Arabidopsis thaliana: one gene and its partner. The protein of the gene in region 1 interacts with the protein of each later gene in a pairwise test. Each region holds a gene or a part of one and is shown on either strand. Other genes may lie near its edges.

Region 1 (7,594 bases):
AAAATAGAAGAAGAGGACGACGACGAGTACATCTTGAATTTCAAAAGCAGAAATTTTTCTGGGAAGTAGACATAAGAGAGGAACAAGCAATTGTGAATCTTCCGAATTTGTTGAAGATAATAAGTTTGTTTGTGAAGAAGAATACACTCGATTCCAACATTGTAGAGTTTTTTAATTTTTGTTGGGAGTAAACAACGATGTTAAATAGGACACGCACATTGTTAAACAAAAAAAAAGAAAAGGACACGCACATTGTCAAATGTACCAACTTTAAATGGGCTCATATAGCCCATTAGTGTAAGTGCTTGAAACAGAGAAGCTGAATATTTTTGATGGGAAATAAAAGTTCAAGATTTGACTTGAGATAGCAACCAAAGATGGTAGAAGGAAATGAACAATCACACTGTTTTAGTAAACTAATTGGTCGGGTCATGTGGATATGGCAACGGATCCTCCTAGGCCTAAGTTCGGAGATGTAAATATTGACATCTCCAAGTGAGAATATTTCACTTCTTGGTAAAATCTATTGTTATATGTCTTTTAACTTTCAACACGCAAACAAAGTGTTGGAGGTTTGTTTTTTTTGGTATGTCCCTAGTTTTGTAACCTTTGTGTTTAGGTACAATGACATTTTTCTGTGTTTGCTACATTTTTTCAGTTTCTAATCTTGCATATCTTGCAAGATCTTGATATCAACACAAATTAGTTGTGCTGTGGAGTCAGGCCAAATAAATGAGCAAAGTAAGAGAACTCTCACTGGAGATCATTAAAGCCATGGAATAACAACAAAGTTCCCAAATTTATCGATTATTATTATGCCAAGAAGAAGGACTTGCGATACATGTTAAACAAGCAAAGATACATTGGTTTAGTTAATCTCTTTATAAAAAAAAAACATTAGCAATGAGAAAGCCTAATTGAGCTAATAAGCTCTTATTAACGGTATCATCATCCATCAGCTTATTAGATGGAACAAACTGTTCCAAAACAGACTTGGAATATCACTCACTCTAGTCTGTAAAACAGCTTCAGCACCAAGTGCATTCAACTTCTCAACGACCTCCTCTCCTTCTTCTTTTGAAAGTCCTGTTTTCAAAACCGTAGGAGCCTTCACCACCAATTTCATAGCTTCCTTAAGACCCACACCAATGATTCTCCTTACCTCCTTAATGATCTTGATTTTCGCACGTGCCTCGAAAGACTCAAGTTTAACCTCAAACACAGTCTTCTCCGCTTTAGCTCCCTCATTGGCACCACCACCACTTTGGCCGTCCCTCAGTACTCTCATTTTGTTTGATCTTTGATACGTGCTTGTTCCTTGGCTTTAGCTCTAGACCTAATCACAAACTTAAACCCCAAACCTACTCTCTTTTTTTTTAACATTAAGATTTTTCTCTACATTTTTATTCAACTTACATATACGTTATATATTATTAAACACACAACTTGCTCTCCAAGCAATAATTGTACTAGATGTCAGAAAAAAAAAAAAAAAAAACATTAAGTGTAGAGTTTCTATCTAGCTTTTTTTTGTCTCCAAATAGCTCCCCAAGCAAAAATGTCCCTTTCTCAGCACAGATTATGTTCATAACTTTATCATCATCATGTGCTATTCTTTGCCTCTCACTGTTCATATCCTTACCACGTTGTCTACAATAGCTAAAAAGCTCATATTTCGAATTCTGTTCGAAATGATATATAACTTCCAGTCTCCTAACGAATTTAACATAAAACAGAAAGAAAAGTCAAAGAAAATTTGTTGTAACTTATAGTAACTTACACAAGTCTTGGCCAAAAGAAAGTTTGAAAATCTAAAAAAACAAAAAAGGGGTTAGAAGGGACTGATTGATGATCATTTGGAAACAAAATTGTTTTCCTTCTTGTTCCATATATTAAGACACATTTATGTGTATATATTTCTCCTCTGCCCTTCTTTCTCGATTTTTCCTCATTCATCATGAGCTTTATTAACCTCCTCACTAGTCTTTGATTCATCAGTCGTTGCTTCCTCTGTCTTTGATTCATCAAACGCCAACAACTGCAACAGCAACAAAACAAAGAAGAAGAAGAAGACCATAAGCTCACTAATCCTTTACATCTTAATCTACAACCAAAAACACGATAAGCAAACAGAAGGTAACAGGAAGGTTCTTCTGTTTGGGTTGCATAATTGCGTTTACAACAATAGATACATCGAAATCTAGAAGGACTAGAAAACAAACCGGTTTGATGTCACCGTTCCAAATGCAGTGAGAAGCCAAGAACCCAATTACGGCTGGGACAATGTATAACAAAGCAGGCTGAAACAAAGGCAAAACAAAAACAAAAACCTATCAGAGAGAAATCCCAAAATAAGGTTGCAATAAATAGATGACAACAATTAAGACACAAAAACTGACCTGTGCTGCTTGAAACCAGTTCATGACTACAATCGTGAGGATCACACCAACAGCGTATCCGATAAATGCACTTGTGAAGTATTGTGGTTGTCTACGTCTTGACACATCAAATCTTAGAGCTAGTGCAACGAAAATACCTAAAGGAAAACAAAAATTAATATCTTATATTCATATCATATCCAAAAATATGATTCAAGAATGCATAACCATAAGCTGAATATAGCTATTGGGTTAAGCATTAGAGAACATACCCGGAATGACAATGTCACCAAGACCAAGCATAGAATAGGGTCTTAGAGCATCACCCGTAGGGAATAAGAGCTGAAAGAAATATGTAACAATGAGATTACTGAAAAATTGACTAAGAACAAATCAGAATCAATTTGGTATGGTGTGTACTTTTGAGGCATTTTTACTAACCTTAATTGGAGCATCGAAGGATTTGGCAACACTAACCATAACTGGAGTAAAGAAAACCCAGAAGATATCATAGAAAAATAGTCCTGCCTGCAAGTCAAGCATAACAAACACCGAATGATTGAGTCATTTTCAAACGAATTTTCTTTTCATCTAGAAGTCCAAACAAGTTTTCAAGAATAGCATTCAAAAGATGCAGTTCTTACCAAAAGGATGGCACCAGTCTTGAATGATCCGAGAGAGAGCATCTCAATTCCCTGTATTGGCAACGGCATTAATTAGTAAAAAAAGAGACACTCAACAACAGTGACTCCAGTTCACTTTAAACTTAAATATTATGTTATAACAGTGAAGCTTCAGAGTTTATGTATTCCCATAAAGTGCAAGGGAAGTAACCTGAATGCAGAAGGAAAGGCCGAGGATATTGTTAGCCAGCCAATGTTTTTTCCACGCATACCACGCACAGAAGAATGTTCCAGGGATTCCCGCAACAACTTGGGACTTTGTGAACTCTACCTCCAAAGCTGTTTAGTAAAAAGGTGTTAGACATCAAAGAAAATAAGCACATCTCAACCAGAAGGATAGAACAATAACTGGATAGAGTAAGAAAAGTAAAAACAGATTTGAAAATGAGACAAACACCTAGGATCTTGAATGATCATTACATCAACCAAATAAGTATTCAAAGACTAGCACTAAGCAAACGATAACAAACAAACCCATAACTTATATAATGAGAAAAATGGCTACCAAAGAATACTGAAGGTAATCTTAGTTACGTACACTTGAAATAAGGAAAACGCCAGACGATAAGATTGTCATTCCAAGGATTTGGTAAAAATCTTCTGATGGCTGGTAACAATGTCGCTCTGCAAACACACATAACCGTGTCATGACTTGACCACAGATAAACAAATAAAAAAACAAAAGGCATGATTTAGATAAGACATACGAAAGAGCGACAATCCCAAGAACAAAGAAGTAAGCTGTTAGCACAGCATTAACCAAGTCCTTTGAGAGAAACTTGAACAATAAGAAAAGTGAGAGAAGCATAGCACTCCCAACCAATGGGAAACGCATGGCATGTTCTTTTGACATCGTCTCCTACACCATTTCAAACCAAAGAAACAATTTAGATCGAATTTGGAAAATTGTTTCACTAATAAAAAAAAACAATCTGATTGCGTCTTTGTCTTACCGTTGGAGGAGTATCCTTGACCGAACGAAAGCAACCCACATAAACAGTGATACATGCTGTGAGAATAACATTCAAATTTGGATTTACTCTCACAACGAGTGGTGCCAATGTCAAACCTGTAACCAAAACAAAAACAAAAACCACTCAGTTTTGAATCTTTACACCATAATCAAAAACAATCAATCACACCCATCAAGCCTAAACCCTAGAGAAACCAAACTGATCTAAAACGAACAAAAAAATAAATATTTTCCAGCAAATTCTAAGAACAAACCTAAAACCGAAAAAGTTAACAAATTCGAAGCCTAAATCACAATCAGAAGAAACCCATAACGCGAAACAATCACATGATCGTAAAAATCGATCGAAAATTGAAATTCACGAGACGAATTGTAACAATTGTAAGAGTGAAAGAGAGAAAAACCTGCGAGAGCGAGATTAGCAAATCTCTCACAATTCTTCATAATTGCTTCTTGTGTTTCGTTTTTACTCTATTACTCAGATGAATGTGTATATAGAGAGATCCAGTGGTGGGGTCAAAAGATAAAATTTCCACCAGATCTGTTAAAAAAAAAAAGATGAAGAAGAAGAAGAAGAGAAAGAGAAGAGTTAAGGAAAGAAAATTAAGATACTCGAAGACCACGAAAGTTACGGGACTGTGACCTAATTACGTGACAGACTTATTTCATTGGTAACGCTCACGTGTCTATGACATTACGTTCGCATTTTAATTGGTTGATTATTGCATTCATCACCACATCACACATGCATATCTGTTTTCTTTTATGGTTAGTCAATACAATGGTAACCGATACTTTTCTCCTTCAACGGATAACAAAACTGGAAACATATAAATCAATGTCAAAAATTCGCTAAAGACCTAATAAATAATCAATGTAAAAGTATTATATTGTATAGTTTTTAGTATTTTTTTTCTCTTTTAGTAAGTTTTTACACACAAAAAAACAAAATATTAGTGTGACATCTAAACAAAATTTGACTTATGGAAGTACAGTAAACGGAAAGAAAAGAAGGGAGCCGATTATATGTGACTCTTTCCACTGGTCTTGGTCCATTTGATTAAAATACATGAAAATCAACTATACTTTTAAGTGGATCATACCATTGGAACAATTGGCTGCAAGTTAGACACACTTAGTAGCAAAGACGCGTCCGAGTTCATAACAGTGCTTTGGAACCACTAATGATGAACAAGATTACTCAAATATAGTTAAATACGAATACGAAAAATGAAAGAAACATTGTATTCTTTCATGAAGATGACAAAAACAAAAAAATATATATATCATTCTTTTAAGAACTTCCTGCATTTGTAGATTCTTGAGGCGCAAAACTACTCGAATCCTCTTTTTTCTTGGATTCCAAAAAAACGCCCAAGTATTTTATAAAAAGTATATTCCAGAATCTAAGTGTTTAGAACATAGAAAGATAACCTTTTGACATGGTTTGGTGATCAATAAACTCGGTTTCTTATTGGGGAATTTACGTTCTGCAAAAGAAGAAAATAGACAGACATCATCAAAAATGAATCTCTATGAGTAAATTTGGTTACCAGAATCATATATTTTTTTATGACAATCATACCATTTGACCATAGTCTTCATTCCTAGCAAATTCCTCTGAACCATGAGGATGGTTCTCGCCTTTTCTGTGCCTAGACTTGCTCGAAGTCTATATTGTTTGAGAAATATAAGGAAATAAAGTTGGAAGCAAGACAAGACCACGATCCATGTCAAATACATTGGCTCTTAAACGCAGCATCACTTGTGTAAGAGCTTTGATTGCTGCATCAAGACTTCCTGTTATCTAAAACCACAAGATAAAGAAACATTGTTTAAGGGTCTCTTTCAAACACACAAAATCGACAAGCACTAGGCAATAAAGGGTGGTCATGATTTATTACTTGGACCATCTCCTCATTCTCACGAGCAATTTTTATGAGAGGTCGTTACTGCAGGATTCATCAGAATTCTACCAGGTTGATGTTGCAGTGTACTACTAGAGGAAGACAGAAAGTAGTTCTAAAATCGTGACGGATTATTATAAAGCAGAAAGGCAACTTGGTAAAGAGCTTCTCTAACAGCAGAAGGATCTCCAATTATCTGAAAGTCAACCAACAACAACATTCATAAGCTAAATCCGAAACACAACCACACACACTAACTCAAATCTCGAAGACATTACCTGAAGAAGCTCATCATGACTCAATGCCAAAGCACACATGGGTAGATTATCATTTCTAACACGAATCTGAGCATTAGTGTCATTACGCAGCGTTTGAATAATTGGTCCACCTTTGCCAATAAGATAACCAATTTGATCAGAAGGCACAAGCATCCTCACAGTAACAACTGTTTGTCCCTCACTATACTCATCATTGTCATTATAATCATCATCATCGTCAAATTCTTCAACAACAACCATATCATGAACCTTGAAAAGAGCATCAAAAGCAGGACAGACAAAATCCTCATTGTCATCTTCAATACGATTTCTCTCCTCGCTATTAGAATATATAGTCACAACACGCTCATCACAACCAGGCAATGCCTCGTTTACCCTCATGTTTGCTTTAGTCTCAGACCTAATCTATTTTGCAATCTCACCACCTCTCCCAAGAACTCCCTGCTCTTCTCACAAGACACAAGTAACGATACACAGTATCTTCTAATCCAGCACCATTATTATCTGTATCATCAGAAAAAAACTCTCTTACCTCTTATCAAATATGAAAACTAACTAAAACAAGATCTCTTACCATAATTGTTCCTTGAATGAGCCATTTTAGCAACGATTTAGTGAAACAAGTTCTGAAATCACAAAGCCAGAGGACGCTGAAGAACATACGAAACAGAAAATTAGGGTTTAAGTTAGGTTTCAAATAAGCAACAGAAACAAACATTCATAACACCAAAATCCTTCTTCGTTTCTCTATAGATAGATTATGTAAAGCTCACATCAAGAAACCTAATCAACGAAGATCAATACGAAAATCAATTCTCACGCAACCAACCGATCGATAAATCTTGATAGTACTTGAACATTGCTTAGAAAACGGAAAACTCGAAAACAGTAAACTGTTACCAGAGAATGAAACAACCGATGATCGGTGAATCCGTCCGAAGAAGCGTCGTCTCGCCGGAAAATGCAACGGCCTCTCTCCGTCTTTTTCTTTCTGTGGTTTTTGGAATTTGAAATTGAAAAGAGTAGTGAAAGATGAAGAAAGTCTTTGGGCTCATTAACGTCTATAGGAATCTAAAAGGCCTAGCAAGGGCTTTTCAAATTTTTCTTGCGTCGTGACAACACGTAGCCACATTATAAAATAAAGCGATATTAATGTCAAATTTACTATTTGAATTGATGCTATATGGTATATATATTTGAATTGATGCTATGTGGTATATATATGTTTTCTATTAATGAAGGGAAAATAGCTAAAATCAACTCACACTATTTTCCGACAGTTTTTTATACCCAAACTACGATATTTGAAAAATATCAACCTAAACTCACTAAAAAAATTAAATTTTCAACCTAAACTATATGAAAATAGTCAAAA
Region 2 (6,160 bases), on another chromosome or scaffold:
TTTCTTTTGTTGTGTCCTCAGGTTCTTAATGATCAGACATTTGCCATAATGGTTCTAATGGCTCTCTTCACAACCTTCATCACCACACCAGTCGTAATGGCAGTCTACAAACCAGCGAGAAGAGCGAAGAAAGAAGGAGAATACAAACACAGGGCAGTAGAACGAGAGAACACAAACACACAGCTTCGAATCCTCACATGTTTCCACGGAGCAGGAAGCATTCCTTCAATGATAAACCTCCTAGAAGCATCAAGAGGTATCGAAAAAGGCGAAGGGCTCTGCGTTTACGCTCTCCACTTACGGGAACTATCAGAGAGATCATCAGCTATTCTAATGGTTCATAAAGTTCGGAAAAACGGAATGCCGTTTTGGAACAGAAGAGGAGTAAACGCAGACGCTGATCAAGTAGTAGTTGCTTTCCAAGCTTTTCAACAGCTAAGCAGAGTCAATGTCCGACCAATGACAGCAATCTCTTCAATGTCTGATATTCATGAAGATATCTGCACAACAGCTGTAAGAAAAAAAGCAGCCATTGTGATTCTTCCGTTTCACAAGCATCAACAGCTTGATGGTTCGTTAGAGACTACACGTGGCGATTACCGTTGGGTTAACCGGAGAGTTTTGCTTCAAGCTCCTTGTTCGGTTGGTATATTCGTTGACCGTGGACTCGGAGGTTCAAGTCAAGTCTCAGCTCAAGATGTTTCTTACTCTGTTGTTGTTCTGTTCTTCGGTGGTCCTGATGATCGTGAAGCGTTGGCTTATGGATTACGTATGGCGGAGCATCCCGGAATTGTTTTGACTGTTTTCCGATTTGTGGTATCGCCGGAGAGAGTCGGAGAGATTGTTAATGTTGAAGTGAGTAACAATAACAACGAGAATCAGAGTGTGAAGAATCTGAAATCGGATGAGGAGATTATGTCTGAGATAAGGAAGATATCTTCGGTGGACGAATCGGTTAAGTTCGTGGAGAAACAGATTGAAAACGCCGCCGTGGATGTTAGATCGGCGATTGAGGAAGTGCGGCGGAGCAATTTGTTTTTGGTTGGTAGAATGCCAGGTGGAGAAATTGCATTGGCGATTAGGGAGAATAGTGAATGTCCGGAGCTTGGACCTGTAGGAAGCTTGTTGATTTCGCCGGAATCTTCGACAAAAGCATCGGTTTTGGTGATTCAGCAGTACAACGGCACCGGAATAGCTCCGGATTTGGGTGCGGCTGAGACGGAGGTATTGACTTCTACGGATAAAGACTCTGATTGAATGAATCATTGGTTAAAAACAAGAACGGTTCGGTTCGGGTCAGGGGTTGGTTTACCATAGTTAGTGAAAAGTTGGTTAATGAATACGGTTTAATCAAAATGACTGTACTTGGCTTTCACTGTTTCATCTTTTCTTTCTTTTTTGTCGTCACTGTTCATCTTTAAGTTTTTTTGCTTTTGAAAGTAAATGGTTAAATGATGACAAAAAAAAAAATAATGGTTGTTGTAAAAAAAGTTATCTACTTTAATCGGAAAAATAATAAATTTAAAAATCCAGTCATTGAACATAAAACTAAAAACAGAAATGTCAGAAGTGGGGTTTGAACCCACGCCCTCTTACGAGGACCAGAACTTGAGTCTGGCGCCTTAGACCACTCGGCCATCCTGACTTTTGATATTGTTTTCTACTACAAACTATATATAGTGATTAACACCTAGTTGTCTACCTTACGTATGTTGCTTACTTTAAGTAATTATCCAGATTTGATGGTTATCATACCGAAAGCGTTTGGTATTGTGGAATCCACTTTTTGTGTGATTATTTTTGTCGAGAAATCGTGAAATCGCAATTTTGGCAAAAGAATTATGAACAAATTTTTTTGGAAAATTATCAAATTGCGTTTAACCTAGTTCATATACCAATCATTTTAGCTTTTCCTATGAACAAGATGTTGAGATGATGAAAGAGATGGAATGGGAAGAATATTATTAGTCAAATAAAAACAAGAAAGATTCTTATGAACTAAAGTTAGATCGCAGTAGCAGTGAAGAGCGAAAAACCCACGAAACAATTTGAGTTTATGTGTATGGACCAATCCTCAGACATGATGCAAAATTGACATGACGAATACCATCATGGAGAGCTGTTAAAAGGATGAGAAATTAACTAAGACAAATAACTAACAACAATAATTATCATCCATCCGTGTTCTCTCATAATCTAAATATTTTTAGTTAAAACCCCCAAATTTATAATGAACATAATAATAACAAGAGATCAAAGGGTTTATCAACCAACAGCTTCTAACAAAACATGTCTTGAACCATTACTACGATTCCAATGAGAGAGTAACTCACATTCCTTAATCCTTCTTCTTGTTCAGAGCTCCTCTTGGAATCTTGCTTATGACCTTACGCAATACCTTCTCATCAAGTACTGCATATTGCTTTTTGATCTCCCTCATCGCCTTCTCCCCATAGGCATCTACTTTGTCCTCATACTTCTCGTAGAGTACAGGAATGGTGAAGAGAAGGACAGTAGCTGGAAGCAAGAAAGAAAAGCTGGTTATCAAGATATGCAAGTATGATTCCTATCAGATTAAATGCAGTAAGATGTAAATGAATCGTTACCAGTGTAGAACAATGTCAAGAAGTTGTAGCAGCTGCCAATAATGGACAAAACCCACAAGCCAGCAATTACCTAAAACATGTGCAAGCAAGTATTAGCATTTATGAGGAACATAAGAAAACCGCTTTGCATCGAGGTAGATAACATGAACAATACCAGGATAAATTTCTTGACATCTTTTCCTGATGCAATGTTCCTAAGAAGGGTCAAACCACGATTGATTTCAATCCTTAATCCAGAAACAAGTTGAAGAATAGGATCTTCAGGGATGTGAACTTCCGGGATGTGAGGAGTTGACCTGAGGATAAGAACTCAGTTGATCAGGCAGTTATCTCATACTTAACACTTAACATATAAGGGATGTTGTAAGAACATACTTGTGGATGAATGTACAAGCATTAGACCACAAGAACAATGCTGCAAGAGCAAAAATCGCAAAGTGACAGAGAAAAGCGAGGAGATGGTATTCGAATAACTCGAATAAGACCCAAGACGCAGTTACAGCACCCAAGACTCCACCAGATACCTTCTTGTTCCTCCAAAGGAATATATCAGCAGCTACATGCAAACAATGAATCCAGATTCAACATAGTTTCTGAGTATTTCACAAGATTTAAGCGTACTTTCGAGCAAAGCAGACAATTAAGCACTCAAATACACTCAATTTTAGCTTCAAATTAGAGCAACATTCACTAGATCGAGCAAAATCACTATGTAAGATACAAAATCGAGTAAAATCAGAGTTCAAAGTGAAGAAATAGAGATAGATCCATACGTTTTCCACCACCGAGAACCTTGTGAACAGGTTTCTCCCTTCCGAAAAGTCGGTAAATCTTTGACTTGAAGGACGACGACGAAGACGATGTAGATTTCTTATCGTCGTCGGAATCGGACAGAGAAGACGAGTCACCGTGGCCATGGATCTTCTCAACAATCTTCTCCAAGATCGATTCCTCGTGCTTGTGGTCTTCCACCATTTTTGTTGATTCTACAAACCTCCGAGAAGAAGAAAAAAAAACCTAAAACTCTTTACTGATTGAAGAGTGTGGGAGGAGACTGTGACGAATAAAAGCGTGTGCTTCAGATTTAATCCCACCCCTTGATTTAAAACATTTAATCCAGTCCGTTTGATTCGGGTCTGGGCCTCGAGTAGGTAACCGTCCACGGTGGAAAATCAAACTATTTATTTTGTAGCAGATGTAACATATTTGGCGTGGAACTAACGGTCGTTAATTAATGTGAATATTCCCGATAACGTCTCCGTTAGTGGAACGTTAGATGTCGGCGGATAGGATCCAGCATTGGGCCCATTTATGGGATTGTTGGTACAGTATTAAGGCCCATTTATTACTGATCCATTTCATAGTAAAAATAAAAAATTGTTAGGCATAGTAAAATTGTTATGAGAATATGTTGATAGAATGAAAATGCTCCTAGATGAAAGATGATCATACACCTGTTGATTAAACATTACAAGGTCACAGATTATATATATTGACATCTCAAAAATTAACCAAGACGCTGCGTTTTGGAGATATTGGATTTCGAAGACCCGGAAGATAAGAGGAGAATAGTCAGTGACTCTCACGCACGTGGGGTTTGAATTGATGACTCTGGTCTCTTGGCCTCGAGATCTAACTTCTTCCGTGGGATCCAATTTTGAGCTGAGTCATGACACGTGTTACAACACGTGTGCTCCACTGTGTCGACATCACTCTTGAAGGTAAGATTTTTTGGAGTAATGGCAAACCCAGAGATCAACAAAATCAGGTTTGACAATGAAAGCTCACTTATTTATTTATGTACTTTTCCAATAATTTGATTAGTCCAAATATATTATTCTATTTGGATATTCATTCATATACATAATTACATACACATGCAGTGTTAGAAGTGAGTTTAATATGGAAGATTCGTCGTCTAGTGTGACATGAAATTCCACCATTTCATATAATTAGATTTTCTTCTTATATATATAATTTTATGCATCTAATCGTGTGGATGAGAATTGTCCTTCACCTAACCAACCTTTTCGAAGAAAAAGAGAGATTTGTTTCTTAATATATCTTCAGAAAGAGAGAGAGATTCGATGACAAAAAGGATAAGAGATTCTTGGAGACCTCAAAAATCTACTATCGTGGGTCTAAGAAGATTACGTGGCTCGTTTTAAGACCCTTGCATAATCTTAAAGTTCTTACCTATTTTTTTTTTTTTGTCGTAAAGTTCTTACCTAATACAGTAATATATTTTTATATTGTATAAAATATTATACATTAATTAATCAAAAAAAAATTCCAATTCAATCCTGAAACAGTGAAACCCATGCGTGCCAAAGCCAAAAATCTGACTACCTTGCTAAGTGCTAATCATTACCCAATCAGAGTTCATATCAGGAATATACCATATCCATAAGAGCTATATACTAATTACTTGCAAAAGTTTGCACCAAACCTTACTACGTACAAAAGAAAAGATCGTAGATGGTCAAAATTGTGGCTTACTATAATGGCTTATTATATAGTTATTTTTAGATAGCTAAATTTCTTGTATATACAATTTTGAGTTTTACGTATAGAAAAAAATATCATATTTGAGTTTGGTAAAAAGGATGAGTAAATAATTTGGAGATTTCAACCTTCATGTTAAGTTTTCATTTTCGATTAATTTTATCTAATTTTTTATTTTAATTTCTTTGATAACCAAACAATGTAATTTAGACTAATCCTTTTGGACTTATAAAACAAAAACAATTTACTATATATGCAAGCTGTAATAGGGTGATTTGAGTTCTAGTCCACTAAATGTAAATGTTACGTACGTTAAATTTGTATTTGTAATGTGATAAAAAAAAATCTAATGACCTGTATTCATTAACTTAAAAAAAATTCTAATTAACTTATAGAATGGTATAATATCTTATCATATTGTATTATTTTTCAAATAACACTAAAAATTTTGACTCATAATTAATAAAACGTTTAAAGCTTTTTAGGTGAAATTCTTATTTTTATATTTTGTAGAATAGTACAGTTTTGTCACTAAGTATTATTTGTGGTCGCATTTAAATATCAAGTAGCGATATTTAAAAACTTTGCAAGTTGATATAAAGAAGAAAAAAATTATAATATAATAAGACAATGATATAATATAACAAAGCTAATATCTTTCATCCACACACATATATATTAGATCTATATATATATATCTCATATGTATACCTAACCTTACCATATTTGTATTGAGAATTGAGATTAATTAGATCTGTAAAACTCTCTTAAAATAGTTAACCAAGAACACCAAAACTACAAAAATGTTCCCTTTCTTGAAGCAACGGTCGAGGTCGGTCCACGGTGAAGATGCACCGTCATCTACAGAGTCCACAGTCTCCGTCGCTGCCGCAGATATTGGAGGAGCGTGTACGACACTCACGGTGTGGAGAAAATCGCTTCTGGTGAGTTGTGAAGGATTCACGGTGATAGATTCGAATGGAGATTTGATTTACCGGGTCGATAATTATGCCCGAACCCGACCCGAGGAACTCATCCTCATGGATAAA

What was found. Proteins that work in one complex are often made in the same cells at the same time.
Region 2: the proteins of SPP (region 1) and BTI3 interact in a two-hybrid assay, tested with the Arabidopsis thaliana proteins (one large-scale study listed by BioGRID).

What each region holds. Positions count from the first base shown.
Region 1 is NC_003071.7:934,438-942,031, reverse strand, and holds SPP (signal peptide peptidase), read right to left. Parts: upstream 4,650-7,594; 5' UTR 4,479-4,649; coding exon 4,439-4,478; intron 4,131-4,438; coding exon 4,015-4,130; intron 3,921-4,014; coding exon 3,769-3,920; intron 3,686-3,768; coding exon 3,600-3,685; intron 3,341-3,599; coding exon 3,213-3,340; intron 3,074-3,212; coding exon 3,023-3,073; intron 2,907-3,022; coding exon 2,820-2,906; intron 2,721-2,819; coding exon 2,651-2,720; intron 2,537-2,650; coding exon 2,400-2,536; intron 2,301-2,399; coding exon 2,223-2,300; intron 2,039-2,222; coding exon 1,949-2,038; 3' UTR 1,481-1,948; downstream 1-1,480. Other genes in the region: AT2G03140 (alpha/beta-Hydrolases superfamily protein), read right to left, coding at 1-32; AT2G03130 (Ribosomal protein L12/ ATP-dependent Clp protease adaptor protein ClpS family protein), read right to left, coding at 956-1,288; AT2G03110 (putative RNA-binding protein), read right to left, coding at 6,057-6,137, 6,220-6,600. UniProt on the Arabidopsis thaliana protein: Intramembrane-cleaving aspartic protease (I-CLiP) that cleaves type II membrane signal peptides in the hydrophobic plane of the membrane.
Region 2 is NC_003076.8:16,633,651-16,639,810, reverse strand, and holds BTI3 (VIRB2-interacting protein 3), read right to left. Parts: upstream 3,783-6,160; 5' UTR 3,582-3,782; coding exon 3,380-3,581; intron 3,163-3,379; coding exon 2,982-3,162; intron 2,903-2,981; coding exon 2,761-2,902; intron 2,677-2,760; coding exon 2,607-2,676; intron 2,518-2,606; coding exon 2,339-2,517; 3' UTR 1,903-2,338; downstream 1-1,902. Other genes in the region: CHX18 (cation/H+ exchanger 18), read left to right, coding at 22-1,257; AT5G41590 (LURP-one-like protein (DUF567)), read left to right, coding at 5,915-6,160. UniProt on the Arabidopsis thaliana protein: Plays a role in the Agrobacterium-mediated plant transformation via its interaction with VirB2, the major component of the T-pilus.